3 linked regions of the Arabidopsis thaliana genome follow. The protein of the gene in region 1 interacts with the protein of each later gene in a pairwise test. Each region holds a gene or a part of one and is shown on either strand. Other genes may lie near its edges. The genes, in order: AT1G76510, AT2G31730 and NAC090.

Region 1 (12,938 bases):
TTTTATATGTTTATTTTAAACAAATCCCACTTAAAATCTGTATACACTTTTTTGGGGTACCTTATGTAGATTATATCGAATTTCATGAATTTCTAACTTAGAAAGTTAATATACATTGATAATAAATAGTTTGGTCTATATTTTTTTTACTATCAATAATAATTTATAATTAGTTTAATAAAAATTGAAGTGCACTCACTCATGGTAATAGTTTTTAATTAGTTTTAGAATATATGACCAAGACCAAAAACATTTTGAAACTGAATTTAGTTTTGAATAGGTAGAATCTCGGTTTTAAAGAAAATGATGAAATTCATAATGGAAGGCGTTACATGCACACGCTTCAAGGCAATTCGATTCATGGCTAACATTTTTGATTCACTTTTATTTTACTTTTTGTCATCTGTTTATTCTGTTTCAATTAAGTGTCGTTTTAAGACTTTAATTTTGTTTCAGGATAAATTTTATTTTATATTTTCAATGCAAATATTTTTTTTTGTTAAAATTTCATGTCTTATCTATGTTTTTCTAACAGATTGACAAAAAAAAAATCTATGTTTTTCTAACGTATTAACTGATGAAAGAAATATAATTGTGTATTAATGAAAGATAGAAGTGAAACTTTAATTAAATTTTAATACTATATGTTAATTAACTTTAAACAGCATATAATGATAAATGGTGGGAGTATTACATTTGTTTCTAGGGAATACTGCATTATTATGCGGACAAATTTGATATGTAACTTTCAAAAACTTATACAATAATTTATATTTAGACTTCTCGTTTGTTTTCTATATAATAATTTCCAACAACTTTATCAAAAAAAATAAAAAAAAATTCCAACAATTTAATATCAGCATGTTTCTTCCATCTCCTATTCATATACCTTTGGCTTTTAAATTGTAAATTTCTTAATTTCCTTTTTCTTTAAATTTTAACTCTTAAAAGTTTTCCTTTATTTTCTTGGTTTGAAGCTATATGCCAAAAAGGGAAACGCATATATCCAGAGAAGAAAAACTCGAAACCCTTGTCTTTTCATGGATTTCAAGTATATTATTAATATGCAATTATTCGTATATTAATATATGCCCCTATGCGTATTTTATTTTTTAATGCGAAAGGAATGATATTCAGCTAAATTTTCGGTGTGTCTATTGCTTTTTTTTTCCCTTTCCTCGTTCAAAAAAAGTACTTGCAGAGTCACTCACTCTCAGTCTCAGCACATGAATTAATTTGAAGCTTCCCTAGAATTCTTTCACATCAATTAATACGACACCGTCTCGGGTGAAGAATCTCTCCTCTCTTGCCCTAAAGCGAGTTAGGGTTTAACACACAAAGCATACCCTTTAGATTTGTGTCTCTTAGCTCTGTTTTTGTCGGCTTGTGTAACCGATCAACTCAAGCTATTGGCTCCTCACCTCCTGAAATTTGACTTCTCCAATGGATCTCAAAGTTTCTCTTATATGAATTCTATCTTCACCCTCACAATATCTTTATATATATGAGCCACAAGAACAAGAAGAGTCAGTAGATGCGGCTGCCATGGACGGTGGTTACGATCAATCCGGAGGAGCTTCTAGATACTTTCACAACCTCTTCAGGCCTGAGCTTCATCACCAGCTTCAACCTCAGCCTCAACTTCACCCTTTGCCTCAGCCTCAGCCTCAACCTCAGCCTCAGCAGCAGAATTCAGATGATGAATCTGACTCCAACAAGGATCCGGGTTCCGACCCAGTTACCTCTGGTTCAACCGGGAAACGTCCACGTGGACGTCCTCCGGGATCCAAGAACAAGCCGAAGCCACCGGTGATAGTGACTAGAGATAGCCCCAACGTGCTTAGATCTCATGTTCTTGAAGTCTCATCTGGAGCCGACATAGTCGAGAGCGTTACCACTTACGCTCGCAGGAGAGGAAGAGGAGTCTCCATTCTCAGTGGTAACGGCACGGTGGCTAACGTCAGTCTCCGGCAGCCGGCAACGACAGCGGCTCATGGGGCAAATGGTGGAACCGGAGGTGTTGTGGCTCTACATGGAAGGTTTGAGATACTTTCCCTCACAGGTACGGTGTTGCCGCCCCCTGCGCCGCCAGGATCCGGTGGTCTTTCTATCTTTCTTTCCGGCGTTCAAGGTCAGGTGATTGGAGGAAACGTGGTGGCTCCGCTTGTGGCTTCGGGTCCAGTGATACTAATGGCTGCATCGTTCTCTAATGCAACTTTCGAAAGGCTTCCCCTTGAAGATGAAGGAGGAGAAGGTGGAGAGGGAGGAGAAGTTGGAGAGGGAGGAGGAGGAGAAGGTGGTCCACCGCCGGCCACGTCATCATCACCACCATCTGGAGCCGGTCAAGGACAGTTAAGAGGTAACATGAGTGGTTATGATCAGTTTGCCGGTGATCCTCATTTGCTTGGTTGGGGAGCCGCAGCCGCAGCCGCACCACCAAGACCAGCCTTTTAGAATTGAAAATTATGTCCGTAACATAGCTGTAACCAAATTTCATTTCTCAAAATTAAAAGAAAAAAAAAATCATCTTCATTGTTTGGGGATCGTTTGGTTTTTAATTTAGTTGATCATATATGAATATTTGAATTCGTCTTGAGATGATATACTTCTCCATCTGCATTTTCTCTTCTTTTTTAATCACTAGGGTTTCGTGCTGTCCCTATATATTATTTGTTATATGCTTGAGTTCACAATAAAAGTGCTATTAGAAGCCAATTTTTATATATCACTTAGTTACCTTTGTAATTGGATAACAAAAAAGTTATTGAGTACATTTTATAGAAATATTGAAATGGCTCATACTTGTATATATCATGGATGTGGTATGTGTAATCCCCTTTTTGAGTAGTTATCAAAGGTAATCACTCAATCTATGTTACTATGTCTATCAAGTAATCAACCAACAAATCAAACATCTTGTTCTTTTTAATTCATCTAGATACCATACATGAATCTTCGAGATTTTATGATTTGAAAATCTCTAGATTGAATATCTTGTTTACGCATGGAATCTCTGATTTAGTACATGTTTCACCCAACTGAGTTCTACATTGTATTTCGATGAGATCAATATGAATATTTCTTCGTTTTTATCAATTAATCACGAAAATAACGCGTTAAGAATCTACCAAAAAGTAAATAACGCTTTAGAAATTTTACGAAAAACTAAATAACTATTTAGAATTTTATGAGTTTGTTTTAAAGACAGCGGTTACTGTGATAATTGCATACTATATTTTTGTCGATTATAAGAAAAGATTCGCCCACCCGTTACAACGATATAAACATGATTTTTCGACGGTTACAAGTTAATGGCTTAAACACGAGAACATTACATGACCTGCCAAAACCAAAATATGAAAAATTTGTCCCAGAGTTTCATTTATCAGTTTCCTTTTAGAGGATTAGGAAAGTCTATAACAACACAGCCAAGTGGGGCTTTAAGTACAAAGATGTGTGAAAATGAGGAATGCATCAAGTCCCTAGGGAAACTATGTATGGACCGTATGAAAACGTATATTTAAAAAGAAAATCAAGTGAAAGGAAAAGCTTGTACATGACCAATGCATGTCCAAAGGAGATTTGTGGTGAAATATCTTCAATGAGCTTCTAAGAGAAGACAGGTGACATTTATGTATATAAGAAATGGAGTCTCATCATGTTTACTGTTATACAATGAGAATGAGAGATGGTTTAAAAACCTCTTATTTTCATAATTTTCATATATTTGACATTTTAGGGCTTCAACCATGTAAAGAGAATAAAGGGTAATGTACTTTGAGACCTTTTCGATACATGCACTGTGACTTTATCTTTTTAAGATATCCATGTGCTCATGTCAAGTGCCTTACATGCAGTTGAGCAACGATTGGGTTAAGAAATCTTGTTCATTGTGTGTTTTATACGAACGGCTGATAAGTAAACGTAAATGTGAAGGTTTCCCTATATATACGAATTATGATTGGATAGATATATAGATCCTTTAAGTAACATATGTTCTACACTATCTAGACTACTAACTATTTTACACCCAAAAAAGAAGAAGGTCTACACTATTGTGTGGGCCATAGAGCTTGAAGAACATATGTTACTTAAAGGATCATGGTTCGAACTACAACATTTTTAAGTATGATTTGTTATTGTAATTGTTTTACATGAAAATAATATCATACTTTTTCATAAATTCTGAAGATTGGTATGAATTCGACCAAGAATCTCACGGTTGTAAAAAGAGAGAACTTAAACAAAAATTGTATACTATAGTAGTATAGTCACATATTATTAACTATTACAATAGAATGTTTTGCTAATTTTTGTCTGATGTCAACAGAAAATAGATAAGCATGAATATCTAAAAATCACAAAACGTGTTAGATGTAAATATATAATATTGGGTCTAATGCAAATTGGAAGTTGCAATAATATGTTTAGTTTTTTTCTTCAAAAAAAATTTTCTTGACTTTCCTCATCATATATATATATATATATATGAATGCAATTGTGGATCACGAAAGCAACACGACACATCTAAGGCCTAATTTTCAGGCCATTTAACTCAACCCAAAAGCTTCCAGCCCATAAAACTTCAGTACTCTCCTACAATAGGAGCCATTTAACTTGATTGAACTATAAATTGTAAGTTTTCTTTATGTGAAACCTGAAACTGAAATAAACAGAGAAAACAGATGAAAACTTCATTTTCTAAAAGATATATACCAGACACTGTGATTGTTGGTTGCATACTTGAAGGTATAAGGAACAGCTTCCTTACTAACTTTATATGGAACATCAATATTCATTTCTCTACTTTAATATTCAGAACTCAAGTCACAGTCAAACTATCACATTTGCTATCGTTTGTTTTTAGTTCTGATACAAACGAATTCCTAAAAGAAAACAAAGAGACAAATAAAGAACTAGCTCACTTGGGATGAGACCGGTCACTGCTCAAATGGGACTCGCACAAACAGTCGACCATGCAGGCTCACAACCGCTGACGTGTGCAGCGGATCGATTCTTGCGGGAAAGTTCACAACCTACCATAACCAAAATCGGAAAACAATTGACAACTATCCTTCAATTAGCAACTAGGGCTCTGTTTGGAGTGTTAGAATCTAACCTTTTTGAAGGGTGTGATTCCCCAAGGATTGTCAAGTTGCTCAGGTTGGCCTGCTATAACTAGCCGCCCTGCAGGGTCTGACTGAACACGGACCTGAAAGAAGAAATCAACTTATATTGAGGAACTAGATTCTGTGTGCAATCACACAAAAAATTACTATGAAATTCATTACAACGGACAACAGTGTGTGTATTTAGATTCGAATCCAGTATATGTTCACATCTATGTCGTAGGAATCAGTAACACTCCAGTGACAAAACACTGATCAAAGAAGCTTTAGAGATTGAATTCCAAGGAGAAAAGCTCACCTCTTCGCGAAGAAGTCCAGGTACCAGGGCAAATATCTCAAAGCAGTCTTTCTGTAAATAAAGACAACAAAAATAAATTTGGTAAGATTTCAGATTCAAAACAAAAACCCAGATTGCAGTTATTTCCCTTTCTTCAGGCAGTGTTGTTTTTGACTTTTTTTCTTTCTCATGTCTCTAGTTTCAAGAGTTGGGTAAGCGTTGCATTATATGAGGGGGGAAGCGGAAGTGGTACTCACAGTTTCTCTGACATTGATCTTCACCCAGTCTGCAGGGGGTCCAACATCTATAACCTCGGCAGTTGACCTATCAAGCCAAAACCATATTATCAATCTTTTGCTCTGATTATAATAAACGAAATGAAAAGACAAGTTACAAAATTCTCTGTATTCATTTAATCTCCTGCGCTATTTCTGAAATGGCAGTTCTTACAACTACCACCCAGAAAACAGTGCTTGTGATCTACCAAACATTGACAATGCAGGGTTTTTCGATGGATAAGATTGTATGGAATTGCACATGGTAAAGCAATCTTGCATAAGCAACACAAAAATACAGGAGATGATTATCTTTCGTAACTGTTTTTCTGATTCGTGTGAAAAAACAAGGTCCATGCCGGTTGTTGTTTTTTGTTTCTGCACACCTGAAAAGAACATTTATACACGGTGGCATTAGGTAATCATTCTGTAGGTAGTGGAGAACAATAGCCATCGCTTAGGAATATTACCAATGTTTTTGAGGTTCTTTTGCTTTGGGGTTGAATTCAAGCCTTTCTCCTGAAAATATATGTACAAACAGAATCATGTTGAAGCGTAAGTTTGTGCATGGTGAATTATGAAACGTGGTAAGGTCTAAATAGAAACCTTAACAATAGGCTCAGTAACCTCCCCAGATCCAAGAAGGCGCTGAGAATGCCAACCTTGCATAGCACGAGCTGCAGCATCTCTTCTTGTTCTGCCTGACCCTGAAGCTTGATGGCTACTTGCCTACATAAGTGCCCTTATATCAATGAGAGAAAAAGGGAAGGCATATAAAGTTTAAAATTCTGTTTTAGGGAGCTTAAATTGGTAATTAGCTGTGTTGTGTACATATTATTTCTTATGTTTCCCATATAACACAAAACGGTACAGCTTTATTCAATCAGATTGCAGAGAGTAGTATTCAACATGTTAAGCTGATATTACTCATGCCCGAAATTTCCATCTGTATAAAATGATTTTATAAAGAACTGCAGAGCTTTCACTTTATCTAATTTAACAACATGGTTTACCTACTCTTAAATTGACCTCCTCTCAAAGTGTTCACCTACCCAAAAGCATAAGAATTACACAATTTCATAGGAATTCTAACCTCCTTTTCAATGCCTGAAGACGGAAGAGAAGCTGAACCAGGAAGGTTAAGCTCACCATTTTGCCTTAAATGCTTCTCATACTCCAAAAGTGCCTGCGGTTGGAAATAAGGATACAAATAATGAAATTTCCACATCTTGATAGGATAGAAATCAACCAGACTCCATGTTAGGAAGGAGTCAATCCAAATAAACTGTTAGAAGGCTACTAAACCACGACATAAATGATAACGAAACCAGCTAGTCTCAGACACACTACTGACAAAAGGAGCAAAAGAACATTGTCTGAATCGAACATGTATGAACTAAACTGAACAAGTACAACCTCATTAATATCAATGCATATTCAGTACTTAGACCAAAAATGAAATTCACCTTTTCATAGAAAATGCGGAATGTCCAGGAGACTGTAGTGCATGTTCTGAATAACAAAAATGTGGAAAGTCAATTTCATACAAGAAAGCGGAAAAGGTTGAAGATTGAGGACAATACAAGCCATACTTTGGAGGATGGAACGATTCTCCAACTTGCCGCCATAGCTTAGATGTGGTGACCTATATAAGAAAATGAAAATCATAGGAATTTTGAATACCACAGACATAGAGTTTCAAGCAACGTGGGCGGTGGGATAGATTTGAGTATAAACTTTCAAACAGAGTAGATGACACTAAGCAAGTTCAGTTGCCAAAACACAGACCTAACATAATTAACACATAACTGCATTGACTTAATTATTTCCGGAAGCCATTCCTTGTTCTTAAATCATCTTCTCATTCATTAGCTATAGTTCACACGTTATACAACCCAAAACGTATAAATCGCATGACCTGTAGATAATAATCTAAAAGATTTTTAACCTCCTAAAGGGGAAGAGGGAGGAGAAGATCTTAGTAAACATAAAATCATTGGAAGTTCGAAAGTAGATCATTACCACATCGTAGCCACCTAACTTGATAACGGCTCTCCAAAGCCTACATTTCAAAGTAAAGCATGCAGACGTTATCACGTCAAACAAGGCATAACCAAAAGTATGGAATTTTCCAAGAATTAAAGCAACACTTCCAACAACTCACTTGAGACAATTTAAGGGCTGTCCGTAAAACTTTGGGGCTTTAAATTCCAGGAAATTCTCCTTGTTGAAGGCCTCCACTTCTTTAATAAACGCCTCTTGATCCTGTGGTGCCCCTGCTTCATCAACTTCCCTGGCCTGTATAAAAACGTGAACTCGTGATGAAATAGAGCCACTGTGATGACCACAGATCTCACAAAAAACAATATTCAACGCTTAACGCAAATGCAGGCAGACTAGTTGTCTGAAATGTGACAGAAAAGTGCTCTCATCACCTCAGCATCACTCAACAACCATGTCTTCCACTTCTTAACACTTTCTTCAGGAACATGAGGACTCGACGGATCCCCCTTCAAAGGATTTGATTCCCCAAGTGTTGTCTCCTCTTGACCGCCATCACTAGTAATCTTCTTTTCAGACTGATCAACATCACCATTCCTCCCATCAACACTGTTCTGACCACCAACCTCTTCATTAGCCTCAATTTGATTAGCAATGGGAGCATCAGATAAATGAACATCACTATCCAAAGTATGAGTCGTATCCTCTGGAACAGGGGACTTAGGTCTTTCAATAGAGTTTAGGTCTTTCTCTAGTTCTGAAGGCTCCTCTACAACACCTTTGGTACCAGACGGCACATCTTGCTCTTGCATTTCAGTATCCGCCATCATGAAGCTAATTCTCTGAGACATAGCATCACAACAACAACGCAGAATTCAAAATCCAGAAATCATAAATAGAAACGCACTATTGATAATTCCAGAGAGAATGCAAGACGCATGTAATCGAGAATTGGAACGCATCAAAACTCTGAGTCCTACTCTCTCACTGATTCGCTATAATTCAAACAGTGATGGCGACTAAAGCATTAGAAAGCAGAGCTTCACGAAATCATGGAGTACATACATAGAAACAAAAGATACGGTTACCGGTTTCGCCGGAAGAAGAAGACGCCGGAGACGGTGGAGTCGTCGCGGGTTAGGGTTCGATAGCAGCCGGCGAAATGGAAGGACGCCGGCGGAGAAAAAGAAGCGAGAAACGGAAAGATATCAATTAAACGGAGAGATATGCAGATCAAAAGATTTATACGGATGATATAATGAACACATGAATTCATTAAGAAAGAAATTAATGCTTGTTACTTGTATTAACTCTTAACGAAGATCTTAATAGCAAAACTTATTAATGATATTTCAGAAAGTTGGACTTTTACGACCCATTTACATAACAAAGCCCATTATTGTAAACTATGGGCTCAATATGTAAGGTATATTATGAATATAATCTTAGGCCCAATTAAACACGGAAGACAACGTAGGTTTCTGCTTGTCTCGATTGTTGTTGTGTTTTTATTTGTTACTAAAGATAGAGAAAGAAATATCGAAGCATTGTGCGTTCATGTTCAATATAGAGTTTTTGTTGTACCAAAAAAATATAGTGTTTGAATCTTTAATTATAGACTAGCTAGCATATAATTAACGTGATTAACTTTACAATTATGGTGATGATGATTTTCTCAGTATGTAGGTATAGTACTTGTCAAAGTGACAAATAATTGCAATTTAATGAATTGGTGTGGATCCAAAGGATAACAAATAGTATGAGCATATTCATTCGAAGCAAAATGGTACAGAATTAAGCAAAGCTTTTTGTCCAAAATTCTAATGAATTAAGGACCATTATTTTTAGGGAATAATAGTCTTTGATGCCCCACATTTCCAATAGTACAAATCAAGATTTTCAATATATGTCAAGTTTGTTATTTTCATTCACGGACATTAAAACGAGTGGAGCATTTCAATTTGACATATCTTTGTCCTTTTCTTTTTGTTACAGATATCTTTTGTTCACGTTCTTTGAATCATCATATTCATAGCTATGAGATCATAGAAATATCAAATACTGTTAATTAACCTCTTTAAAAATACATATTCACAAGTCTCTTGTGTGAGTAGAAATCCTATACAAACAAGTTTATTCATGCTCTAATAAGATAGATAAATAAGAAGATAGCTCATGACATGGCCTTCATTAGGCTTGTTGCATATACAATAAGCTTACATATAAGGAATTAAGGATGGTCTAATATCTCTTGCTTCACATGAGAAGAGTTATAGGATTCGAGTCACATAAGAGATTTTTATTGTAGTGTGTATAATATATCCCACTTCTACAATTATCCAGTCTATTGTGTATTTTTCATTAATAAATCACTAAAATTTGCACTTTGACAATATATACTTAAATATTTGTATCTCGTATATATATATATACATATTTTTAGCACTGTATGATAATTCTAATTATTCGCTAATTGTTTTTTTTTGGTAAGAATTAGTCGACTATTTTGATATTGGGGTTGTTACATTTATATCTTGCATTGAATTTTATGGACGGACACTGGTCGCAGCCTCACACACTAATTTGAATTTTCCGTTATCATTAATATTCGATCGTTTCGTTGGTACGCTTCCATCACACAATTAATTTAAGCCACCACACTATTATCTTATTCTCATTCAGTTTTGTTTCCATTTCAAATTTCTTACGACGCATATGAAAATGTACATTTTTATAACAATTCCCCTTAAAAATAGATGACAAAAAGAAAAATGTTTTTTTTAAAAAAATATATAAAATAAAATAAATAATAAATCTTCAACAATCGATGAACACTTTGCAATATCTCCACACCTTGGGCAAGAACCAGAAAAAAACATGGGGCACGTTTCGTAGTCGATGTGACGAAAGGCATGACGACGGTTACCATATAAATTCGTCTTCTCAGATAAAGCCTTATTATTCTCAATAGTGTTATACGACAATATACGAAACAAACAAAGACCCCGCTTGAGTTGAGTTTTCCAAAAATTGTGGAACTGTTTCCTCTTTCTTTTTGTACATAAACTAGGTTACAAAAAATTGGAAAATATACAAAATCAAAGGACATAAACTTACGAGATATATCATAACTCATAAGTTGTGAAAGTTGGAATTCAAAAAGGAGCTAACTATGAATCTATGATACGTTATTTTGTTGCTTATACGGAACAAAACAATTCCAAAAACAAAGAAGATGTAAAAGTCTGACCCGGATCATGCGGACACCAAGTTGTACATACAAAATATGTAGGATGAAAATATGAAATTCTCTTCCCATATGCATAGAATAATAATTTACCTTAGTTAAAAAGATTAGTTTCTAAGTTTGCCCCAAATAAAGAGATTAGTTTCTTGAAAAAAGCATTTTGTGGATAGACAAGAATTTAAATAGAATGAAGAGGCGACCATGCAAGTGTTGTACTAGGCCAAATTTTGGAGACGCTCTTTCTCTTTCATAGAGAGAGAGTGAGAAAGTTCTGATACGGCGGCTTCTCACTGTCATCTAGCTGTACCACTGACGATAAATCTCTCTCTTCCTCTAAATCGGTTAAAAAATTCATTCCCTTCTTGGATTGCTCTGTTTTCTTCGGCGGTTCTTGCAGCTCCATTGATTCTCTGTTTCCTCTGCTACAGTTAACTTATACTTGCAGATTCTCGCGTTGATAGTAAAAAGATGGTGAAGCTTTTGGAGCTGTTCATAACTTCATCAAAACCAGTCGTTGAGATTCTGTTGATAACATCAGTCGGATTTTATATGGCTCTCGATGGAGTCAATCTTCTTGGTCATGATGCTCGTAAATATCTGAACAACGTCAGTTAATTATCACTTAATTTTACTCTTTTCTTTAATAAATCTAAATGATTCAACTTTAATATGTCTCTGTTTTGTTATCATTTTCTTGATGTGTGTGTATATAGATTGTCTTCTATGTGTTTAGTCCTTCGCTTATTGGAAGCCGTTTAGCTGATAGTGTTACATACGAAAGCTTGGTCAAAATGTAAGTCAATCTCAGATTTTGCATCTTGAGTCTGTAATCTTTGCTCTTTGGTTAATGAAAATGAGGATTTGCAGGTGGTTCATGCCGGTGAATGTTCTGCTTACATTCATCATTGGTTCATTACTTGGCTGGATTGTTATTGTCATCACTAAGCCTCCTTCACACCTTCGTGGTCTCATTCTTGGTTGTTGTGCTGCTGGTAACAAACCTTAACATGAATGTTTCTGATTTCAGAATCTGTTTAACTTGTGTTTTGCTTATGACTGTGGTAATGAATGAAACAAAACAGGGAATTTGGGGAATATGCCACTGATTATAATCCCAGCTGTTTGTAAAGAAAAAGGAGGTCCCTTTGGAGATCCTGAGAGTTGCCAGAAATATGGAATGGGTTATGTTGCTCTCTCCATGGCTGTAAGTTCTTCTTCTTCTTCTTCTTTGTCTTCTTCTTCTTCAAGGTTTTGTAATCAGTATGTCTCATGACAGTACTTGGTAACGTATCAGATGGGATCTATTTACATATGGACTTATGTATACAATCTTATGCGTGTGCTATCGAACTCTCCCGTTGAAACCCCTCCCTCTGTTGAATCCAACTACGACAGCTACAAAGTTCCCCTTATTTCTTCCAAGGAAGAAGAAAACAACCAAAAGGTTTCATCACATATGCACATGATCAGTAACTATTCATTTATCAAAGTTGGTAGTGACTGTGTGTATATGACAGGCTGGGAGGTGGGAAAAAGTCAAGCGGAGATTGGTTTCACTGTCACAAAAAGTCAACCTTAAGACAATTTTTGCTCCATCAACTATTGCTGCGGTTTGTGTTTCAATGGCTCTGTTTTATACATTTGAGACGTCACTCACACTAGTGTAATCTTTCTAATTACCCTTTTTGTTCTTCTGTTTCCAGATGATTGCACTTGTGATCGGGCTCATTACTCCTTTAAGGAAGCTAATAATCGGCACGGAAGCTCCTCTCCGGGTGCTTCAAGACTCAGTAACTCTAGTGGGGTAACTGCAGCTAAAATTAGACCATTATCTTAGCATTAGCTCAACAATGAATCATCTCTTGGAAAAACGTAACTCACTCATTCGAAAGCTTCTTATGTGTCTTGTTTCTTTTGGCTGAAGAGATGGGGCAGTTCCTGCAATGACCATGATTATAGGAGGAAACCTACTCAAAGGTTTGAGGAGTTCAGGAATGAAAATGTCCAGT
Region 2 (10,668 bases), on another chromosome or scaffold:
ATCTATATATAGGGTTTTCAACAGAATAACCTAAATAACACAAATTAGGCGACAAAAGTAAAACTTTACATTGAATCTGGCGAGTTAACTCGGTCTTGGACTCAATGTCTCTCGCAATTTGCGAAGTCGAGATTTTTTCTTTTCTCTACAGAGTTTCCCTTGTCAATCAAAATCACAAGGAAGCCATTATTAAACCAGAAAGATATACTAAAACCACATTTCAATCCGGCATAAGCCGGTATATTTATTCGGTTCAAGTTCGAAGAAACTACGTGCCGTTTTCTAACCAGAGCATACCGACTACACGTTGTTTTCCACTACCTGGCAGAGTAAATGAACGTGTTCTCTTGTTTGACTTTGGGAAACAAATAAAATGAGTTTCTTTCTCTTCAAGCTAATGTCGATTTGTTTGCAGACTTTTTTTTATCCTGCGTTTTAAATATTTTTCAAGAAAATAGGGAAGGCAATAATAAGCAATGGAGAAGAAGAGGGCAAGATCTTATGTCACCTTTTCAGTATTTGCCTCTTGTGACTAAGTCTTCATCTTTAGTTTGGCCACCTTATGTTGAAGAAGAGCTTCAAACAATGTCTAAGGGGCCGAGTGAGTCAATGGTTAACTCAGGGGAGGCTCGTTAGGTTGCATATCATGAATATGCGGAAATCCCTCTAGCTCCTTGAATGCATCTGATCTTGCACATTATGTGGTACAAGGGTATGTTCTTTTCTTTGACAAGGTAACAATTATTTTTTCCTTTGGTCTACTTTCTTCGTTGTTTGTGTTATCTGATTCATTTTTTCTTAAAGTGGATATTTGGCATGAAGCATAAAGTACTCCCAAACAATTGTTTTGTTTGATGCGGAAAGTTTCTAGAGAAGAGTCTGCTAACTTTTTTGGTGAGGTGATTCCTGGACTGGATTGTGTGAATTTCTTCTCCAATTACCATCCATGTTAGGAATGCACTATCATACGGCAGACCATGTCTTGATGGAGTTATGTCCGGGGAAACCAACACTCAAACTAGTTTCTATGTTTTACGCTAGGATTATTTAGTATGAAAAACTTGCATGCCACGACAATAGAGCAAGAGTCTACAATAAACAGAGATTAGTCACATAGCACAACTGTTTTGGTTGGAATCTCTAGTTACAACCGGAGATGGATGTCCAGCTCTGTGACGGAGACCAGTGAGCCTCCTCCTATTTGCCTCTTGCACAACTTCGCCATGAACATATTGAGCTACGGAAAAAGCTAGTTGAGTATTCTTCAGAGAGCTCAGCAGAGGAACATGGCTTGGCTTCTTATCGTGGCTCATAGGTACGTCACTGCAGTCTACCTAGAGGACCAATTGGGTCAAAGTTATATATTATTTCTGAATTGATTATGTGAGATATATTCATGTCACTGTCTGTTTACTACATTCTTTCGTTATATATATAATTGGTGTGTTCCGACTTCCGATCTTACGAGTTTATATGACTTTCGTTATGTCATTGACTGGTTTGTTCCGATCTTACAAGTGGGAAAGAAAACTTGCCAAAAACAAATATCATCCGTTCAAACAAAAAGGAACTATATAAGGGATGAAAATCAGCACAATCTAAAACAAACTCGTAATGTTAACACTAACACTCAGTATATTGAGCTAAAAGACCCAAAAAAAACACCTAGATAAAAAGGACAAAAATCCAAAAAAGCCATCTTCGAATATAGTTTGAGATGATCAAGAACACAAAGATTTAAGAATAACTCTCTTTATTAGTTTAAGAAATTTACTCAAAACTTAAACTCTCAACTCATAAGTTATACCACATGTTGGTATCTCCTTATATAGAGATCTCTTAAACAATCCTAATCCTAATCCTAATAGAACTAATATTTAGATAACTCATAAATATTGTTTAGATATCTCCTAAAGTTTCTAGTCCTAATCTCTCTAGGATTTAATGACTTAATTGTCAAGTCATATTCAAACTTTAACTCAACATCGAGTGTCTGAAAAAAAAATACTTGCATGGCAAACCTCGGCAGTAGAGCTAGAAGAGCTGTTTTTTGCTGCTGGAAACTCTTAACTACAACCGGAGCTCGAGGTCCAGCTCTGTGTCCGAGACGAGTGAGCTCATCCTATTTGCCTCTTGTAAAGCCTCGAGACAAGTCGTCTCCTCGCACAATTTAGCCAATAAATTTAGGCACTCAGTCGGAGCTGGATCTGGATCTGAAAGAACGAAGGCGAAAAAGAGCATGTCTGGGGAGTGGAAGGACCAGATCCGAAGCCTAGTGCCTCTCTGTAGAATGTTATCGGTGACGACCTTGTTCCATCCTAAACCTAAGACGTAGTTGGAAGTGGAAGTCATATCCCATCTCTTGAGCTTAAGCTTCCTCTGTAGACCCTTAGAATTCACCACGATCACATCCGCTCCTTTGTCACTGGCACTAATCTTTTTGTGATGTCTATCTATTTTTTCTAACTCTTCCTCGTTTAAGAAGTCCATATCTAGTATCTGCTTCCAGGGCATCATAAGACGTGTCTGAAGTTCGTCGACATCACTATTGGGAAGAACCTTCACAAATATCAGCTTTGCATCCATACCGTTCACTTCTCTCATCACGTCAATCAGCCATTCCGTCGGTGTCCTATCTTCATCTGTCACTATAACCGGCTTTCTGTTTCTTACCGGTTTGTTTGAAACCACTTTTTGAGGCCTCTTGGACTCTAGATGGCACGAACTTGGAGAAGAAGCAACACGATTAGGGTTTTGTTCCGGGTCTTGATTCTTGCACTCATCAATCTTCAGTCGTTTGCTCAAGCTGGAATTCATAGTTGTGCTCAGACTGTAATTAATTAATCTTCTCAGTCTTCTCAGTCTCTCCCTCCTTTTATCACCTTCAGTGGATGTTTCTCCTATTTCCTCATATGCAAAAGCGCTAACCGTTCTCTCCGTCGCTACACATAAAATATCTAACGCTCTCTTCCCTCCCTGCAAACCATTAAGTTGATCATCTCCTCTCACCATTGTTATAAAAAATAGAGAGACAAGAAGAAAGAGTTAAGCGGCAGAGAGGAGTTTATAGTCTTGCTTTTATATGATTCTGATTGTCAATTCCTTTCACAAACGAACAAAGGTATATATAACTCTCTATTATTTTTTATTTTTTTTTGTTAGTGATAATCTCTATATATTTTTATATTAGTTTTAGATATTCACTAAATTACTTGCTTCTATTCTATTGGTTAGTCTCTTTTGTTCGGTTCAATCTTTAAATTCATGTATTTATCCTCAATTTTTTTTTATAGAGTTTTAAAGTTTTCGCTAGGGAAGATGAAGAACAAGCAAATACAGTTATTCCAAAACAGTGGCAAATTTTAAAACTTAATATAAGAAAAAGGAAAACAAATTTGTAGATCATATTAAGACAAAAGAAAAGGTCTTTTCAAACAATATGGCTAGTCAAGTTCTGGAATCCAAGGTTTTTCACGAGAGCTTTTAGTTGGTTATGTTAAATGCTGTCTTCATTCTCTGCACAATATGTGGTAATGTATTGAGATTTTCCTCAATGGATTTGTGCACACAACTCTCCATCTCGTTAACCGCTTCAGGCCTTATCTTCTGGAGCTTTGAGGCCTCAAACTTGTCTTGACACACCACCAGTGATCTGTTCAATCTTTCCTATACATTCATTCAACAAAAATCAGTCTTTATACACAGCAAACTATGTATCATCTTTTAGCAGATATCTTTACCTGAAATTGAGCCATTTCGTTCTCGAAATACTGTTGAGATTTGACAACGGGAACACTGCAGTGCTCGACGCAGTTACTTATCTCCTCTTGCTTTCTTCTTCTATCAAAGCACTCATATGCACATTTGAAATAAGCTTGCTGCAACAATGATATCGTTGTCAGGGTTTAATTAATTTGAATCAACGGATCATATAACTCAATATAGCAACCCAAAAACACAAGAGAAGGTGTTAATAACTCTCATGCTTCTGAAGACAAAGCAGAGCAATTGTTATGCAACGAGACACGCCTACTTATCGAATATCCTACAGAGCACAATATAGTAATTAAACCAGAGCAATTGTCGTGAACCTAATCCATAGTGTCTAAAGACGAATATAGTACGAACCCAAATGCAAATTTTCAGACTTTTTTCATGAACCTACTCAATTCATCAAATTTGAAACTAGCATTGTATCAAACCAATAAAGATTCCATATTCAGAAGCTAACATTGCTAAATTGTTATATCAGAGAGAATTTATGCTGAGCTCGCGAAAAGTACAGATTTTTGTATATACCTGAAGGGTGAAATTGATGTGATCTTGGATAGGAGAAAGCTGAGTCTGAGCAGCTACATTAACTTCTTCAAGCTTTCTTCGAAGTCTCTCCGATACGATTTGCTCTTCCGCCGCAGCGATGTGATCCATTGTCGCCTTCTCTGTTTAGCGTAATTTTGATTTTAGGGCTTTAGGGTTTTAGCTAGCTGCTCTCTTCAATAGAAGATCCTTCAATAGCCGCAAACAAAACGGGTTTGACAATTTTGGGTCGGGTTAAGTTTCCCGGGTTTCTCTAAACCGGTTAACTCTTTTTCACCAATTCAAACTTTATTAAACAGGAAGCTAATTCCGGTCATTGACCGGTCCGTTAAACTTCGCATTAGAATCAATTGTTACAAGAAGCCACCACAGAGTTGGGATTAAGCAGTAAAAAATAACAGAAACAGCCATCACCGACTTCAAGGTCTCTCCATCAATACATGATCAGACCAAAGCTTTGGCTAATTTTCATTAGTCTTGAGACAGAGAATTTAGCAGCAGCTCATTGAAAGGGCGAATTAGAAGACGAGAGATTAAAAGCATGAGAAGATGTTGGAGTCTTCACAGGAGCCCAAATATCAGCACCATTGGTTTGAGCAACTTCTGATGTATACTCCAATGGAACAAGACATAGCCCTTTACTTCTTAAGCTGTACTCTTCCACTTCCTCCTAGTTACAGAGATGGAAAATATCAGTCTTGCATTGTGATCCAAGTAAACGAGATCCAGATCATAGATTCAGCTCACCTCTGTAGTAGAAGGGGTTGCTTGCAGATAAGGAGCACTTAGAACCTGAACAGAGAAAATCAAGCATAATCATCATTGGATTGGAGGAGGTGAATGAATGAAAAGTATTTGATTAGAAAACTTGAGCAGACCTTGACTTGTTCTTGAAGAAACTGAATGTATTGCATTCCCTCTAGAAGAACTGATGCAGTGTCGGTCTGCATAGATAGAGACTTGAACATGGCTAGAGAAGACAAAGAGCGTGTAAGAAAGATTATTTCGGACCAAGTAGTACCTTTCCGTAAGGGGAAACTAGTTGTTGAAGAGCTGAAATACGTTCTGCTAATTTGTCTTTCCTCTCCTGTTTAAACCACAGAACAACAAAGTTTCAAGATCATTAGCATGCTGGTACAGAAATGTCCGGTAGCTTCATAGCCACAATGAATTTTGATTTTGATGTATCACAAGACCTTGGAAGAGAAAGAGAGATCAGATGACTTGTGTCGTTTAATTTTGTTATCTTCAAGCGAGTAGACATTGCGCTTAGTCTCCATCATCATCTCTGCCGAGTCTCTAGAGTATTCCATTCCTTGTCATCAAACAAAACAAAAATGATCGGTTTTTCGACATAAGAAACCGGTTTACTTGCTACCATTTATAAAGATAATCTCATGGCTTCATCCAAGGCAAGTTGCAGAAAAAAACATAAGATTACAACTCAACAACTTGCTTTTGCAAGCGTCATAAGGACAAAACTATACGCCTTGAGATATTCTCAGACCAGACAAACAAAGTGGTGTCTTGGTTTTAACATCAAAATTAGATGTTAACTACTACAAATTAAGGGATGCAAATCTAGGTTTGGACCAACTAATGCATTGGAAGATACGACTTTTGGATTAGAAAACAAGAGCAATGGTCAAAGAAAGTAGATAATGGTCAGAGGTTATCCATATAAGATCACATCAGCTTAAAGTATTATTTAAAGTTTAGTAGCACAATCATAGATGTTTAAATATGATATCATACTTTGCTTCCATACATAGACAATACATTGTAGGATGCATGAAACTACGGAATTAACTCATTAATTTAGTTCATCTAATGAGCAGAACTAGTTAATCATTATACGTGTTTTTATTTTGGATCGAGTTAGCTCCATTAGACAAGATTCAAAGCTAAGCAAACTTCAATAGAAAAACCCCACAAGAAGATGAGAACAAAAAATACCAAAAGATTCATGATTTTATTTTGCCTTAAAATACTCTAAGTTAAGTCAAAAAGACCAAAAATGGGGAACAAAACAGAGTAAATGAAGAAAAAAGAACTTACAGAGAGAAGAGACTCAGCATTTGCCAGAAACAGCAGACTAACCAACAAGTAACTTCACAAACTCTAAAACTTCTTGGTCTAAGCTCTCTAAATGGGTATTTATGTCACCCTAAGCACAAGACACGATGAAACCCATAAACGAGGATCTTGGTCTCTCTAGTGTATATATATTTTTACTTTCTTTTGTCTTCAGGTCTTGAAGAAAGCCATTAATGAAGCCGGAGCTCCAACGGTGACACGATTCCAGAGGTTTGTGTTTGGATGAAAACGGCGTCGTTACTTAAAGGGTCGTGAAAGAGAGGAGTTTTAGTTTTATGTAGAGAAGAAAGCAAAGAAAAGAGGGGACTACGTTTCATATGTCTTTTTCTTCATTTTGTTTTTCCTTTCGTCCTCTTCATTTAATTCTCATTAAATCTATAGATTTTTTTGTGAGACAAATAAATTGTTAGAATATATAATCGTAAAACTTTATTCTGTTTAATTCAAATCTCTTAATCAATCGAAACTATATTATATGTGTTATTCAGTACTATTTGACGGTTAGGAAATAATTACTATAGTAGTAATTAGGAAGTAACTTGAAGAATTTAGTTTAGTGTATATATTTGGAGTTAGGGAATGTAATGGAAATGTAAAAATTTGACAGCTAATGTACAACCAATGGTGAGAGAGGTCCTTTTACCAGTCCCAGATAGAAGTCGCTTTCATTATTTTCATAATAAAATAATAAATAAGCTAATAATTTTGAAAGTGACATTTGATTGTTTTTTATGTAGTTTTGTCAAAATGATTTTGACCAATTCTTCTGCATCTGTCACTTCTTTTTCAACTTTGTGCTTTTTCTTGTTTTGTTATCCTTTCTTTGAAATTTTCTACGAGGGAGGTTGGTTAATGCAGCGTACCCTTTGGTTGATATCCGAGTATATTCACATTTTCAAGTTTCAACGACACAGCTTTTTGTTTATATGGAACAGAATCTATCTTCTTTTGTTTCTCCAAAGTAAACAGCTAAATACTAACCCAAAATTGAAAAGCATAAACAAATAGTTGAATCTAACCAAACAAACAGAAAAAACAAACCTAACTATAACTAAAAGGCAAAAAATATAACAACAATATTGATTACATGCAAAATATTTGAAATGTTTACAAATGTCCAATTGATCAGCGTTCCATATCGGACCCACGCGGTTTCTGAATTTGTTTCTTTGCCACAAATGTTTTTCTTTTGTCTTCGCGGCGACCAGATTTTGGTTTAGGTGTTTCAATTTATATCTCTCTTACGTACGTACCAAAATCGGCCTGTATCAAAGGCTTTCTTTCCCAAATTACAATATTACAACCATAATTATTATAGCTCCAATGAATAAACAGCAATTATGCTAATCACCATTCGAGCATTTCTTAGCAACAATAAGGAAGATCACTCAAATCAGAAACAATACGGATAGTTCCCAAAAATGCACAAAATTAATCAAGACATTGATGTTTAACTTACATTCCAACTTCACTATCATCCAAATTGAATGCTTCAATAAGTTGGTAGGTCTAACAATCATAAAGGTTATGAAAAAAACTCCACGCTTCATTTTCCATTTGCGTATGGACGAAACTAGGTGTATTGTATATAATATAGTCTCAAAAATTTCAATCTTAACTTATAACAGAAATATATCTCACACGTCTTTTTAAAACGAAATAATAAAGAATGTTTTTATTTCCAGCATTTCAGCTTCTTTGTAGCGTCTATGATGCTTTGCTTCGTTTCCAATCTCTGGCACTTGAGCAATCCCTCCAGTATAACTGCAGATTCTGGAATATCGTTCTCGCTGATTACAGATTCAGAGCAAAGCCCAAAGAGCACTACGTTTACGTCATCTTCCTCTTCTAGTTGCAGGCCAAATAAATGATCGAAAACCTTGGCAAAAAACAAAACAATAGAGATCAATTCTATGACTCAATTTCCGTGCAATAGTATCAGATCAGATTTGTGAAAATATGCAGAGAATTTACAAGGAATGAATCACATTTGCTTTACCTTTTTCATTCTTGATACTACCATATCTTTGACGGACTGTGATCTCGTGACCAAATTCACTATGAAAAGACCGTGCTGAGGGAGAGCTTGCTTAACCGAAAGAAGAAATGTCTCTTCGATAAAATCAGATGCAGGGCAGGTTAATCCGCCGCTGCAGACAAGAGATCAAACAAGAAAACAATCAGGCTTACCATGTGGGTAAATTCATAGATATGTGAATTTACTTGCCATGTCTTTTACCTTGAATCTGCTGAATCCACATCTATAATTAAAATGTCAGGACAAATTCCACCTTGTGTATTGTGAGTGGTTGAATCTCCATTTGAGCCAATGTTTGACGATTCCTCAGACGAAGCTTCAGAGTTTGTTATATCTCTAATGAATTTGATCCCATCAGCAATATGCACCTATTATAAGAATGCGAACGAGCTGAGTGATGGTGCATATAATAGAATAGAATATAAACATGTTAAAGTTTAGCCAGCACTTTTGTTGTAAAGAGGGAGAATTTTACCTTCAAGCGATCATTTTGTGTGAAACCAAAGTAATCCTTGCCAACACTAAGCATTACTGGGTCAAGCTCAACCGCCTATTCAACAGGATACAGAATATGAGTGGCAATAGAAAATACTCAACTTGATTAATCCTTTAAACTGAAATTACCTCAATACTGAAAAATGGCAAGCATCCATGGAGGAACATGGGAAGTAATCCTGCTCCAAGACCAATTACAACAGTCTTAACCTGAAAAGCATCAGAACATTTCTGGATCAGTACAAGGCAAAGAAAAGATTCAGATCGGTTGCACCGTGAGGCCACAACTTAATAATGCTCACCATCGTTCCGCATGACTCAGCCTTCTTCAAGTAGGAAGATACCAATGTGAATCCAGAAATAATTCCAGTGTGGTAAGAGCTAGCCAGATAATCATGAGAGACCCTCATAAGAGGCCTGCTCGGTTCTGAAATGGATACATGTAAAAAAGATCATGAAACTTTTCACCTGAAATGTATCAAAACACTTACAGAAGTACGATTTTTACCTTGGTTTTGCTTTTTATTTCCCTTTCGCTTCGATTGGGAAACATTTTTAGTTTTTTCTTTCTGAGACTGTTCAAGAATCTCACCATCCTCTACAAGCAAAGCTTCAGACTGTATCAAACCCTCAGTCCTTTTGAATACAAGTCGTCGAAATGCCAAATCACTAGAAGTAGACAAGTCTTCTAAATTACTAGGAGCGCTTTCATAAACCACATCTTCAACAACCACTTTCCCAGTCATAGGAGATGTAACCTACAAATCGAAATGAATAGTAAGAAACAAAAAAGATCCCCATAACTACGTATTCTAACCAATCAGTAGTATTAAAATTTGCTAAAATAGTGGTGGATAAAAGTCTAATCACGGAGATCAATAAAGGAAACGATGATCATATTTGTGAAAGGCGAGAAATAGAAGAGACAACAAATAACAGTTTTATTAAGTGATTAATTGGGTATATCTAGTAATAATACCTCGTGGACAGTATCACGCTTTTTTATCCCATCACTTGCCATCATATACCTACAGCACCAATTCAATTCAACTACTAATTAACAAGCAATAATGGCGGAAACAAAATGAGTTAGGATTACTGTTGCACCAAAAATCATGGAGAATATAGTAAAAAAAAAATCCGATAAACATACGGAATGCGAGCTTCATCATCATTTCTGGGAGCTAGTTGTGTCACCATTGGAGATAAATCATTCTGAGATGAATAAGTTACCAGATAAAATCGATCAATAAGTAAACAACATAATGCATCAGACAACTCAAAATGTAGATAGTACCTACCTGGATATCCTCCATGGTGGCTCCACTATGGCTACTGTCGAGAAAAACCTTCATCAAGAAATTAAGATGTGTTTAGAATCTCATGCCGAAAATAGATCACGGTAACATGGTGTATATAAAGAGGTTTTACCATAAAAAGCTTACCATTATGAGACGAGCGGCCTGAGAACTCTCGACAACCTGCCACTGTCCTTCTTCTGAACAGAACAGCCACTCATGAGCACGAGTCTGAAATTTAACACTCCTTTTAATAGATCAAACAAAATTAAACAATATATTCACAGCAATTTCCAGAACTTAAATATTAAGGATTTATGATGTTGACAAAGCTTACCTTGGGGACAAGAAAAACACCACAATAATATACAAATGGCTCAGTTTGTTTCTGAGCATCAAGAAGCACGGCCCTATAACTGAAAT
Region 3 (9,984 bases), on another chromosome or scaffold:
AAAACTCAGAATCAATTACAAAGACTAAATCTTCTTAAGAGAGATTACGATTCGGAGAAAGTGAAAAATACTTACTTCCAAAGGTATCATTGGCCATACAGAGAAAGGTAAGACCATCAGATCTAAGAATATGGAAGATATAACGATCTTGAGAGAAACAAAGTCTTTCATCGGAGATTTCCGGTGAAAGCTTCTCGAGGATCCGTCGCACCACGGCGCCTGTGTTTCCCGTAACGGCGCTGAATTCAGCTAATACCACGGTACCTCTCGCTACAACAGCATAGACAATCGCCATCGGAGAATCTTCAATTAGAGTGATTCGATGACAGAGAGTGGAGATCACGCGCTCCGGCGGCGAGAAAGTTCAACGTCGGCTTTGCTGCGATCAGAACAGAGTATAAAAATGCGAAGTTATAAGGTTAGGTGCAAACGTTTCGAATATAACCCCTTGTTTTATTGTTACGTTTTTAATTGTCACCTAAAATATTATTTTGTTACATTTTAAACCCTGATGCATCGGTTTACGGTTTACCAATTTATTAGGCCTTGGTAACTTATCCGAAAACAAACCGACCCGAAATTCACTTTTCGGTTTGGGTTCGGATACTCCAATAATAACTTGATCGTTTCCTTCTTTTTAATTTCGATTATCCGGTTCGGTTCGAGTATAGCACGAATAAACCGAATTAAAATTAAAGCCCTAATTTAAATATACCGATCGAGTCTTCGGCGAGCTTACTTCGCCTTGAATCGAGTCTTCGACGAGTCTCCGGCTGCGAGTTTCTCTTGCTCCGGCAAACAGACCTGTCATTGCTTCTCTCTCCGGCTAACTACACAGGCGAGCTTCTCTATTTATTTTCTTCTGTGTCTCCAGTTGCTTCTGATATAATGAATATGCTCTTGAAGCAAATTGTTTCTCTGCTTCTCTTTCTCCAGTGAATTGTTTGTTGTATTATAAACGAGGTTTAGGAATTGGGTTAATAATATTGGAGGATTGTGTTTGTATTCTGTGTCCGACGAACAAATGACATTTCCGATTTCTATTGTGCTACGAGCTCAGTGTTTAGAAGGGTTTTGATGTTCTCTATTGAATATTCATGTTATGTTAGTTTGATGATTAGATGATTTTGCTTTGCAATTACTGTGTTTTTTTGTCTGACTGGCTCTGATATTATACAACGTGTTTGACTCCGATTGGTATCAATCTTCTTCTTCGTCTTCAGAAGCATGGTGTTTGGACAAGTAGTAATAGGTCCTCCAGGATCGGGAAAGACCACTTATTGCAATGGAATGTCTCAGTTCCTCTCTCTAATGGGCAGGTTTCATGTTCTTTCTCTTCTCTTCTCTTTTTGGATCAAAGAATGAAGCTTACTTGGCTTTTGTATCTGTAATTCTGTTTGTATTGATTGTTTCGCTGTCCCTCGCATTGTAAAGTTTACAAGTTGCAAACTTTAGTAAATAATAGTGTTGAATTCCAGAAATTTGAATTGTCTGACTTTTGAGCAGAGTCATTGTGAAATGTTGTTGCCTTGTCTTTGTTTTTGGTAGAGAGATTTGCAGATTCGTGAGAACTTCTCTGTAAGTAAATTCTCTTAACGTTGAGTTACTATTTTGTTGTTGTTGCAGGAAGGTTGCTATTGTTAATCTGGATCCTGCAAATGATGCATTACCGTATCCTTTTCAAGCCAAATACAACAAAATTGTTAAAAATTGCAGGTGTATGTTGTTTCTTGACATTGATTTTAGTTATGAGTGTGGTGTGAATATAGAAGAATTGATCAAGTTAGAAGATGTTATGTCGGAACACTCGCTTGGTCCTAATGGAGGTGAATTTTGCCATCTTGATTTTCCCTTTTCTTCTTACTTTTGATTTTAATCTTTGGTCAAATTAACAAAGAAACTTTCTAATGTGACAGGTCTTGTATATTGTATGGAGTACTTGGAGAAAAACATTGACTGGCTGGAATCTAAACTAAAGCCTCTTCTGAAGGGTTAGCAACGATATGTCCCTTCTTCTTCTTCTTCTTTTCGTGGTCATAATATCTCTTTCTTAAAGTAAAACGTTTTGAATTGTTTGCAGATCATTACATTCTCTTTGATTTTCCTGGCCAAGTGGAATTGTTCTTCATTCATGACAGTACCAAGAATGTTCTCACGAAGCTGATTAAATCATTGAACCTTAGAGTATGTGCTTTACTTCACTTATTACTAACTTGCTAAATGAACCTTACTTAGGAGTCTACATATCTGATGAATTTCTTTGTTCTGCAGTTAACTGCTGTGCAACTAATTGATTCCCATCTATGTTGTGATCCCGGGAACTACGTAAGTTCGCTACTTCTCTCCTTATCCACAATGCTTCACATGGAACTCCCACATGTCAATGTATTGTCTAAAATCGATCTGATTGGAAGCTACGGGAAGCTAGGTATTAATAATCTATCTATGGTTTTGTTCTCATAACATCGAATTTTCAAATGTATACTGTGGACTCACTAACTAGGATCTCTGTGCATGTAGCTTTCAATTTAGATTTCTATACCGATGTTCAAGACTTGTCATACTTGGAGCACCATCTTAGTCAAGATCCTCGCTCTGCTAAGTACAGGTTCGATGTAAACATCATCTGAATACACATTGAACGGTTAATAATTATCCATTTAGAAGCATGCTCAATATCTCATGAGCTTGATGTTTCTCATTGCAGAAAACTAACAAAAGAGCTATGTAGTGTCATTGAAGATTACAGTCTTGTTAATTTTACAACCTTGGATATTCAGGTTTGCGATTTCCTTTACCTCTCTCTCTCTTTCTCTCTGTACAAGCATCTTTTCGCAATTTTCTTTTTTGTTTTCAGGATAAAGAAAGTGTTGGGGATCTAGTAAAGCTCATCGACAAGAGCAATGGATACATATTTGCCGGCATTGATGCAAGTGTGGTTGAATACAGCAAGATTGCAATTGGTCAAACTGATTGGGATTATAACAGATATCCTTTTTTAGCATTTTGGATTTCTTAACCATTACTTCTCTCAATAACTCTTGAGTTTAGTTTTACGTCTACTACAAAAGAATTGTTTCTTTGACGATAGTCTTCACAGTCGCAGCTGTACAGGAGAAGTACATGGAAGATGAGGAAATACAAGACTGAGAACAGTGCTTGAAACTTTATATAGAAGAGAGCTGGTTTAAAATATCTCTGAACCAAACCATTTGACGGTTTGTATGAACCTTTTTGTGTATTTTTGAGTTCGGTTTAAGTCTAAACAACATTGATTTACACAACTTCCTGGTTTGGTTCACTGGATTATGCTAATTTTCCAGACGACTAACTTTCTGCCAAATTTTGTCTTTAGACTTTTGAGTTTCTGAATCACACGTGCCCATGACTCCAACATTCTCTAGAAAACATCTCAAATGTCACTGTCTAGGTCATTTATTATTTCTCAAATTCTCACGTTACAAGGTAAAGAAAGAAAAAGAATCTTTCGGGTCATAAAATTCAAACTAACAATAAGCAATTGAAACAAGTTTAAATTTGCTTGATTATAAAATCTATATAGCTTCAAGGCCAAGTCAGCTGTTCCCAGTCCCACATCGGTTCTGATAGTCCATCAACAAACTCTGTGTTCATAGAGACATCAATATGTTCTCCTCCTGAAATCGAAGTTTCCAGTGAGCTTTCCACACGGAACGATGTCTCAGCTACTGCAACATCACTTGTTAGCATTCTCTCTGTCTGCAAAACTCCCTCAGGACGTCTATCAAAAGCTCTGGAGCTTCCTGTTGTTATGTAGACTCGACATAAACTGAACTCACGTCTCAGCTACATTTTTCAAGAAAGCAAAAACAAAAAATCTCGTTATTAAAAGTAACAAGAATGTTCTAATTTAAAAGTTTTTAATTATATGCAAGTACCTTAGGGATTGTGGAAGCGTTGACTGTTTCGTCAACGGCGTGGTACTCATTCATTTTCCATTTAGTTTTTCTTCCTGTGGGTGCTTTTCCAGTGTAGAAAACCATAGTTTTCTTTGCTCCAATCATTTTGTTGTCTTTGGAAAAGACTGGACCAGGTGATCCAGTTGCTTTCCAGTATCCTGAACCAGTAGTTCTACTCGGTCTGCCTCCTCTTGCTTCGCGTTCTTGTCGTGGCACGAAGAAGAACCATTGCTCAGCGTCTCCTCGACATCTCACTCCAGCAACATCTGCAAAATTGTGTGAGTTTCATATATAAAAACATTACGCATATATAGTCTTTATGGCATTCATGTATTTTAGGGGTGTTCAATCTGATTATACCAAACCCGAACCAATTCAAAACCGACTAAACCGATCTGGAATCGGGTTACTATTTTCGTAAAACAAGAAACCCAAACACCAAAATGGAGAAGTTTACGTGCTATAAAACCTAACTTTGTATGATGTCCTAATGACTCTCAAGTAATATTAAGATATGACGATTTTGATGCCATAGTAGATATATATATCGACAATTCAGGTGAGGTTAACCGTTAACGTACTTGGAAGATGACTAGGCTCGACCTCAAAGACGTCAAGTACGGGAATGACACGATGCATTGAGTCATCACTCCTTCCTTCGAGCTGGTTTCGTAGGTAGAACGAAACCAGTTCTTCTTCCGTGGGATAGAAGCGAAACCCGATTGTGACCTCATCGGCCATTTTTGTACGATATTTTTAACAACAAGAAACACTCTAATTAGTTGTAGCTACCTATATTATTAACTTAGATGCCATGGATTCATTGTCATTAAATAAGAAGTAGAGATTGGTTTCTCCGAGTGAAAGGAGAAAAGTTCTCTACGCGTTTTTCGTTTTTTTTTTTTATTTTATTCCCTTTTTGTACGGATATTGGTAAAGACAAGGATGTTTTGTGTGTGTGTGTTTGATTACTTTCGTTGTTATGTGTTTACTGTTTAGTAAACTTTTTACGAGCCACGTACGTCCATTGAATGAGTCAAGCATTCGTCTTTGCCGTCAAGTTTCAGTCTCTTTTCCTTTAGTTTTCCTATCTTTTAATTTGGCTTGCCAGTTTTAGTAAATAGTTTTTTTGAAGCAAACTCAGATTAGTCATAGGTTAGTTTTCTAATGCCTAATCAAATTGTCAGAGGACAATAATCTTTGTAATGAGGTTCATTAAGGAACATGTAATTTCTAGTGAAAGTATAGTAAAACTGAAATAATGTATGTGTAACAATTCTCGTCATAATTTTAGTTAACTTTATTTATTTACATAACAAAAAAAAAACTGTGTAAGTATATAACAAGTTGAAAATAAAAAAAAAGATGAAGAAGACTTTGCCTTGGGGTATTTTCGTTAATTCGTTACATAAATTCGGCCATTTGCAAGTACATTAACGTTATCATGGTACATTATCTTTTATAGATGCAAATTACTTTCCAAAATTTAATCATTGAGTATAATTACACTAGATGACTTTTTAAATACCAAGATACTTTGTAATGTACCACATAGATCTGAAAATTATAAATTTTGAAGATATTTGAATGTAAATTCTAATTGTTCACAACTATATATTGACCATTGAAAAAAAACACTTCAATTCCTTCCTCTAAATAACAAAAGTTGATACACTTTAACAAAAAAGAAGAAGACTATATATGCCCCATAGTGTATTTTGAAAATCTCCACATCATATATGTGCAAGTTAGAAAATGGTAAATTTGTGTATTTTCTCAATCTAGGTTAAAATGCTTCCTATATCGACTAGTTTTGTGATACCGATTTCGAGACACTAGATAACGATTTTTGTGTACGGTATTCTAGATAATTATGGTACTCATGTACCAGTTCGGAGAATAAATGCCACTTTGGTTAGGTTCGTCTCCATGACTAGTAGAGTATTTGCATGCATCACTAATATTAAACTTAACTGGGCACATAATTTATATAGTTTGGGGGTCCTCTCTAATTTAAATCACTAAACAGAAAACAGATAGATAAACCAACCAATACGAAAACTAATCACGCACCGTTATGGATTGTTAGGTAAAAGTGGTCAACATCAATAATTCGTTTTAAGTATGTTGCGACCTTAATTAATCTCAACCGTACCTTTACTTAAAAAATAGGTCAACCCGAGACTCTTTCTTCTATTAATATGAAATTCATTACAGAAATGTCAAATTCACTTAAAACAAGTTATGTAACAGCCCAACCAACGAAAGTAAAACAAGTTTTTCTTTTTTGGCCAAACTACCAAATTCTTTTTCAAGTGTTTTCAGGAAGTACAAACATTTGCTTTAAAGAAATGAATGATCCAAAACTCAAATGCGTTCACAGATAAATTAAAGATCTAGCTAAAATTGTTATTTCTCCAGTTAAAACTTAAAGTGTTATAGAGTGATAATTTTGGCAAAAAAATATTTAACACAATTGGTACTGTATCAAAATTGTGACAAAAAAATCGTGAAAAGCAAAACTAAAAAGGTGTATGGCCGTTTTAATTTTAGTTGAAAAACATTACCGGAATAAAACTTAATCGACATAGAAGACGAACCTATTAAATTATCATTCCTTATAATTTCTTATATATTATTTAATATTGTTTTTATTAGATTGAAACTTTAGAAGCTGGATTGATATTTAATTTTATTTGGTTTCTCTATCAAATCACCAAAATAAAAATCTCGAAACCAAAAACAAGTTTTGACAACCCGACAATCCGTAGACTTCTTTAAATTTTTTTAAGGCAAGTCAAGAAGAGCAAAAAAACAAATCCATGGAGCCAGAATATAATCGAACAACTAAATCTTATTTACGACAGAATTGTCATCATACTAATACTTAGGTGTCTTTTCTTGTGGTTTGCATAGATTTGAGACTTGGTCCGCTCTCATCAGTACTCAGTGGGCTAATACTAATACAAATGAATTACGTAACGTTTTACTCTTTTTAGAGCATTTAGTTATGTCCCATGGCCATTTATAACGTGTGATTATTATTTGTATTTCTTTTTTTTTGTCAACTTACGTGTGATGTTTGTTAATTTTAATCAAGTTTTCTGTGATTATTCTTTTCGATCATATGTTATTCTTTTGTTGCATGCGTGCAGCTGAAGTCCGATATATTCCTTTTATGTCACTGGTAATATTGTGATTATCATCATTTTCTAAAGGGATCACGTATAAACTATTTTTATAAGAGAGCCAGAGCTTATCATCCTCTTACATGTTCATCGTTTCACAATATGGTTAAGTTTTGATATCAATCTTTATCTTCAGTTCCAATATCACCAAAAAAAAAAAAAACGTAAAAACCAGAGACAATCCGATAAGACTTCTTCAACGAAAGACAACAAGGTTCTTATCTTTTTCGGATTCGGGACTAATTAAACACACAAATAGTTTGCCCTTTTAACAAATAAACACTATTCCGCTATGGGTTACTCTTTTTTTTGTGTTCAAGGATTCTTTTAAGAGAATATTACATTCTATGGCACTTTTAGAAAAGTATGTACGAATTTAGACACTTTGAAAAGATAAGGCACTTTGTCAAACCAAATTGTCCAATTTACCCTTTTTAACTGCAAACTCATTTTCTTTTTCATATCTTCTCAGCGTTTCTCCATCGTTTTTATTTCTCTATTTCCAAAACCAAAATCAAATCTTTTACTAAAAATCAAAGCTCAAAAACGAGGGCTTTATCTTTTAATCTCCGACATATTTGCTTTGATTCCTTGCGATGATTGTTTTTGAAAAGCTAACCAAGATATGATGGCGTTATTGGTGGTGGCGGTGGCGGTGGCGGAGGGAGCTTTATACCTTATTCGTCGCTTTGTTTGGTGTCTCTCTGCTCCTAATTACTTTGGTATCTCTGATCTACAAAACTAGAAAGTTCTTAATCTTATTCCACATCAGATCTATAAATTTGAGAGTATTGTTTCTGATTGATTTGATTTCCTGAGAGTAATCACTTCTAATTCAAAGTCAAGATGAAGAAAGAAACGAGAGGTTGAGACATGATGAAAATCAAAGTAACTTTTGTGAGTTTATGACGTTATACAATCGATGTATATTTGTTGAATTTCTATTGAATAAAAATTTGTAATTTATGGCAAGGGACACATCCTTCTCTCTTCTACCTATTACAAATGATTAATATGGACGTATCAAAGTAAACTAATGGTCTTCATTGAGAGTGTAATACAAATAAGATCTTCGTTACATTCTTTATAAAAGCTATGTAACTGACATTGTCCTACTGATGGAATTGTTTATACACAAGTGAATAAATGGTCAAAGAAAAATGGACAATGTACTTTGGATTGGCGTTTATTGGTCATGTATAGACTTGTTTATTGGTATAAAAATACCATGTGAATCATTAGATAACCATATGGACTAGACTTCTTGGACTGTCATCAATGGATAACAACTATGTCTTTGATTTGCTGTGAATGTGTTTATAGCTCGGTAAATTAGCACTTTATTTTGTTTGCGCATTCTACAATGATACATCATATGGTCATAACTCTAACCATTTACAAGAAAATTGTAATTGATCCCTACAACTATATGGTCAACATAGAATGGTCGCTAGTGGATGGCTACTTGTAAAGGGTTAGAATATAAACCCAAAGCATCGTAATGGACATAGTTTTTGAAATTGGTGATTATTACTTATGCTTTCTATAGAATTTGTGTATTTTTGATTCTACAGCGGTGTAAACATGGTTGTATGGACTTGGGGTGATGGATAGGAATTATTGTATATTTGACAGGGGGAGTCGTTATATATTTTAGTAAACATGAGATATTAGGTATCCTAGGTTTCAACTAAGTATCTGATTACAAACTTGCTTTTTGGTTAATTAACAGAAAATGAAAGCAATACACAAGAGGAACATAATCACTTAAGATGATTGTAGTTTTACAAATATATTCGTGTAGAATTTGATTATATGAGCCTTGAATGAATAAAAGCAGACTTATACATTAACTTTGGTGTAGAATGGATATGCTTAGTAAACAAGTTTCCGTATGAACACATTTAAAATGGACACATTATTATAGATTTGATAAGAATAACAAATGCAGAGAAAGGATTACGTGAAGGAAAGAATGTTAATAAGATTTTGGGTTTTAGTTGGTATGGTTTTGTCTTTATATGAAAGCATGTTTGATGGGTCTCGTTCTTTTGTGTAAGTAATGTATTGTTATTGTAGATATTGTGTTGAATAAGAAAAAGACGCATGATTTGTTTTGACTAAGTTGTGATTATTGCATCACCATGACACGCTTTTTCATTCGAAAGAAAATTGATGAAAGCTCTACACGTGAATTATTTGTGTTCAAGTGTTTGTCATGTTTCACCATTACTCCACATGTTAAAGTCTAATTGGACAAGTTATAATGGACACAAACTATCATTGACTAATTGGGTTTTGAGTGTTGCTATTTGAAAGCAATGTCTACATATTGTTCTTGGGGCTTGGAGACCTATAGGATTATTAGTTTATATATAATGAAATCGTGTTGGATGCTTTGATAGTTTATCTCCATAAAAACTTGTCCAACAAGATGTGACCATGTGGAAATAATTTATTCTCATGTGCGAAGTAAAGTGCTCTTAGCTTAGAGGTTAAACGAAACATCAATTTATCAAGCTAGAATCAAATGGTACCAAACAAGTTGATCATATGGATATGAAATTCAATACTGGAATTTGCCAATCTGGTGCTCCATAGAAAAGAACAGAGTAACGAGGACCTCGCATCTCTGTAACCCTGTAATATCGAGGTTACTCCAAACAATTTTTGTTCTCACGGAATCTCTTCCATGTACGATGCCATTTCTTCTTCTTTTTCAAGAGAGAGTTCGAATTCTCAGATCGAATTTCAAAACCCAAATTAAGTAAGTCGAGAAACGTCCCACGTTATGTTATCACCGCCTCTCTCGTCGCCTTCTTGCAACAGATCTGAAACAAAGGAGAGTAAGGAAAGAG

The links.
Region 2: the proteins of AT1G76510 (region 1) and AT2G31730 interact in a two-hybrid assay, tested with the Arabidopsis thaliana proteins (one large-scale study listed by BioGRID).
Region 3: the proteins of AT1G76510 (region 1) and NAC090 interact in a two-hybrid assay, tested with the Arabidopsis thaliana proteins (one large-scale study listed by BioGRID).

Annotation. Positions count from the first base shown.
Region 1 is NC_003070.9:28,703,987-28,716,924, forward strand, and holds AT1G76510 (ARID/BRIGHT DNA-binding domain-containing protein), read right to left. Parts: upstream 8,963-12,938; 5' UTR 8,748-8,962; intron 8,525-8,747; 5' UTR 8,513-8,524; coding exon 8,117-8,512; intron 7,980-8,116; coding exon 7,846-7,979; intron 7,744-7,845; coding exon 7,704-7,743; intron 7,327-7,703; coding exon 7,274-7,326; intron 7,194-7,273; coding exon 7,079-7,193; intron 6,868-7,078; coding exon 6,775-6,867; intron 6,411-6,774; coding exon 6,288-6,410; intron 6,201-6,287; coding exon 6,152-6,200; intron 6,068-6,151; coding exon 6,004-6,067; intron 5,731-6,003; coding exon 5,664-5,730; intron 5,479-5,663; coding exon 5,428-5,478; intron 5,213-5,427; coding exon 5,120-5,212; intron 5,037-5,119; coding exon 4,945-5,036; coding exon of another isoform or gene 4,941-4,944; exon of another isoform or gene 4,807-4,940; coding exon 4,695-4,806; 3' UTR 4,353-4,694; downstream 1-4,352. Other genes in the region: SOB3 (Putative AT-hook DNA-binding family protein), read left to right, coding at 1,546-2,454; AT1G76520 (Auxin efflux carrier family protein), read left to right, coding at 11,398-11,535, 11,643-11,722, 11,797-11,921, 12,012-12,133, 12,224-12,373, 12,447-12,539, 12,633-12,733, 12,854-12,938.
Region 2 is NC_003071.7:13,482,964-13,493,631, forward strand, and holds AT2G31730 (basic helix-loop-helix (bHLH) DNA-binding superfamily protein), read right to left. Parts: upstream 6,717-10,668; 5' UTR 6,376-6,716; intron 5,729-6,375; exon of another isoform or gene 5,633-5,728; 5' UTR 5,631-5,632; coding exon 5,514-5,630; intron 5,405-5,513; coding exon 5,339-5,404; intron 5,262-5,338; coding exon 5,196-5,261; intron 5,110-5,195; coding exon 5,065-5,109; intron 4,988-5,064; coding exon 4,820-4,987; 3' UTR 4,587-4,819; downstream 1-4,586. Other genes in the region: AT2G31720 (B3 domain protein (DUF313)), read right to left, coding at 2,071-3,012; AT2G31725 (FAM136A-like protein (DUF842)), read right to left, coding at 3,484-3,666, 3,741-3,878, 4,300-4,428; AT2G31740 (S-adenosyl-L-methionine-dependent methyltransferases superfamily protein), read right to left, coding at 8,090-8,293, 8,414-8,564, 8,654-8,820, 8,928-9,002, 9,077-9,157, 9,250-9,374, 9,456-9,705, 9,927-9,975 and 4 more.
Region 3 is NC_003076.8:7,405,360-7,415,343, forward strand, and holds NAC090 (NAC domain containing protein 90), read right to left. Parts: upstream 4,744-9,984; 5' UTR 4,680-4,743; coding exon 4,520-4,679; intron 4,205-4,519; coding exon 3,918-4,204; intron 3,826-3,917; coding exon 3,565-3,825; 3' UTR 3,400-3,564; downstream 1-3,399. Other genes in the region: VAMP714 (vesicle-associated membrane protein 714), read right to left, coding at 76-295; QQT1 (P-loop containing nucleoside triphosphate hydrolases superfamily protein), read left to right, coding at 1,228-1,319, 1,627-1,671, 1,747-1,826, 1,917-1,991, 2,081-2,184, 2,272-2,428, 2,521-2,608, 2,708-2,780 and 2 more.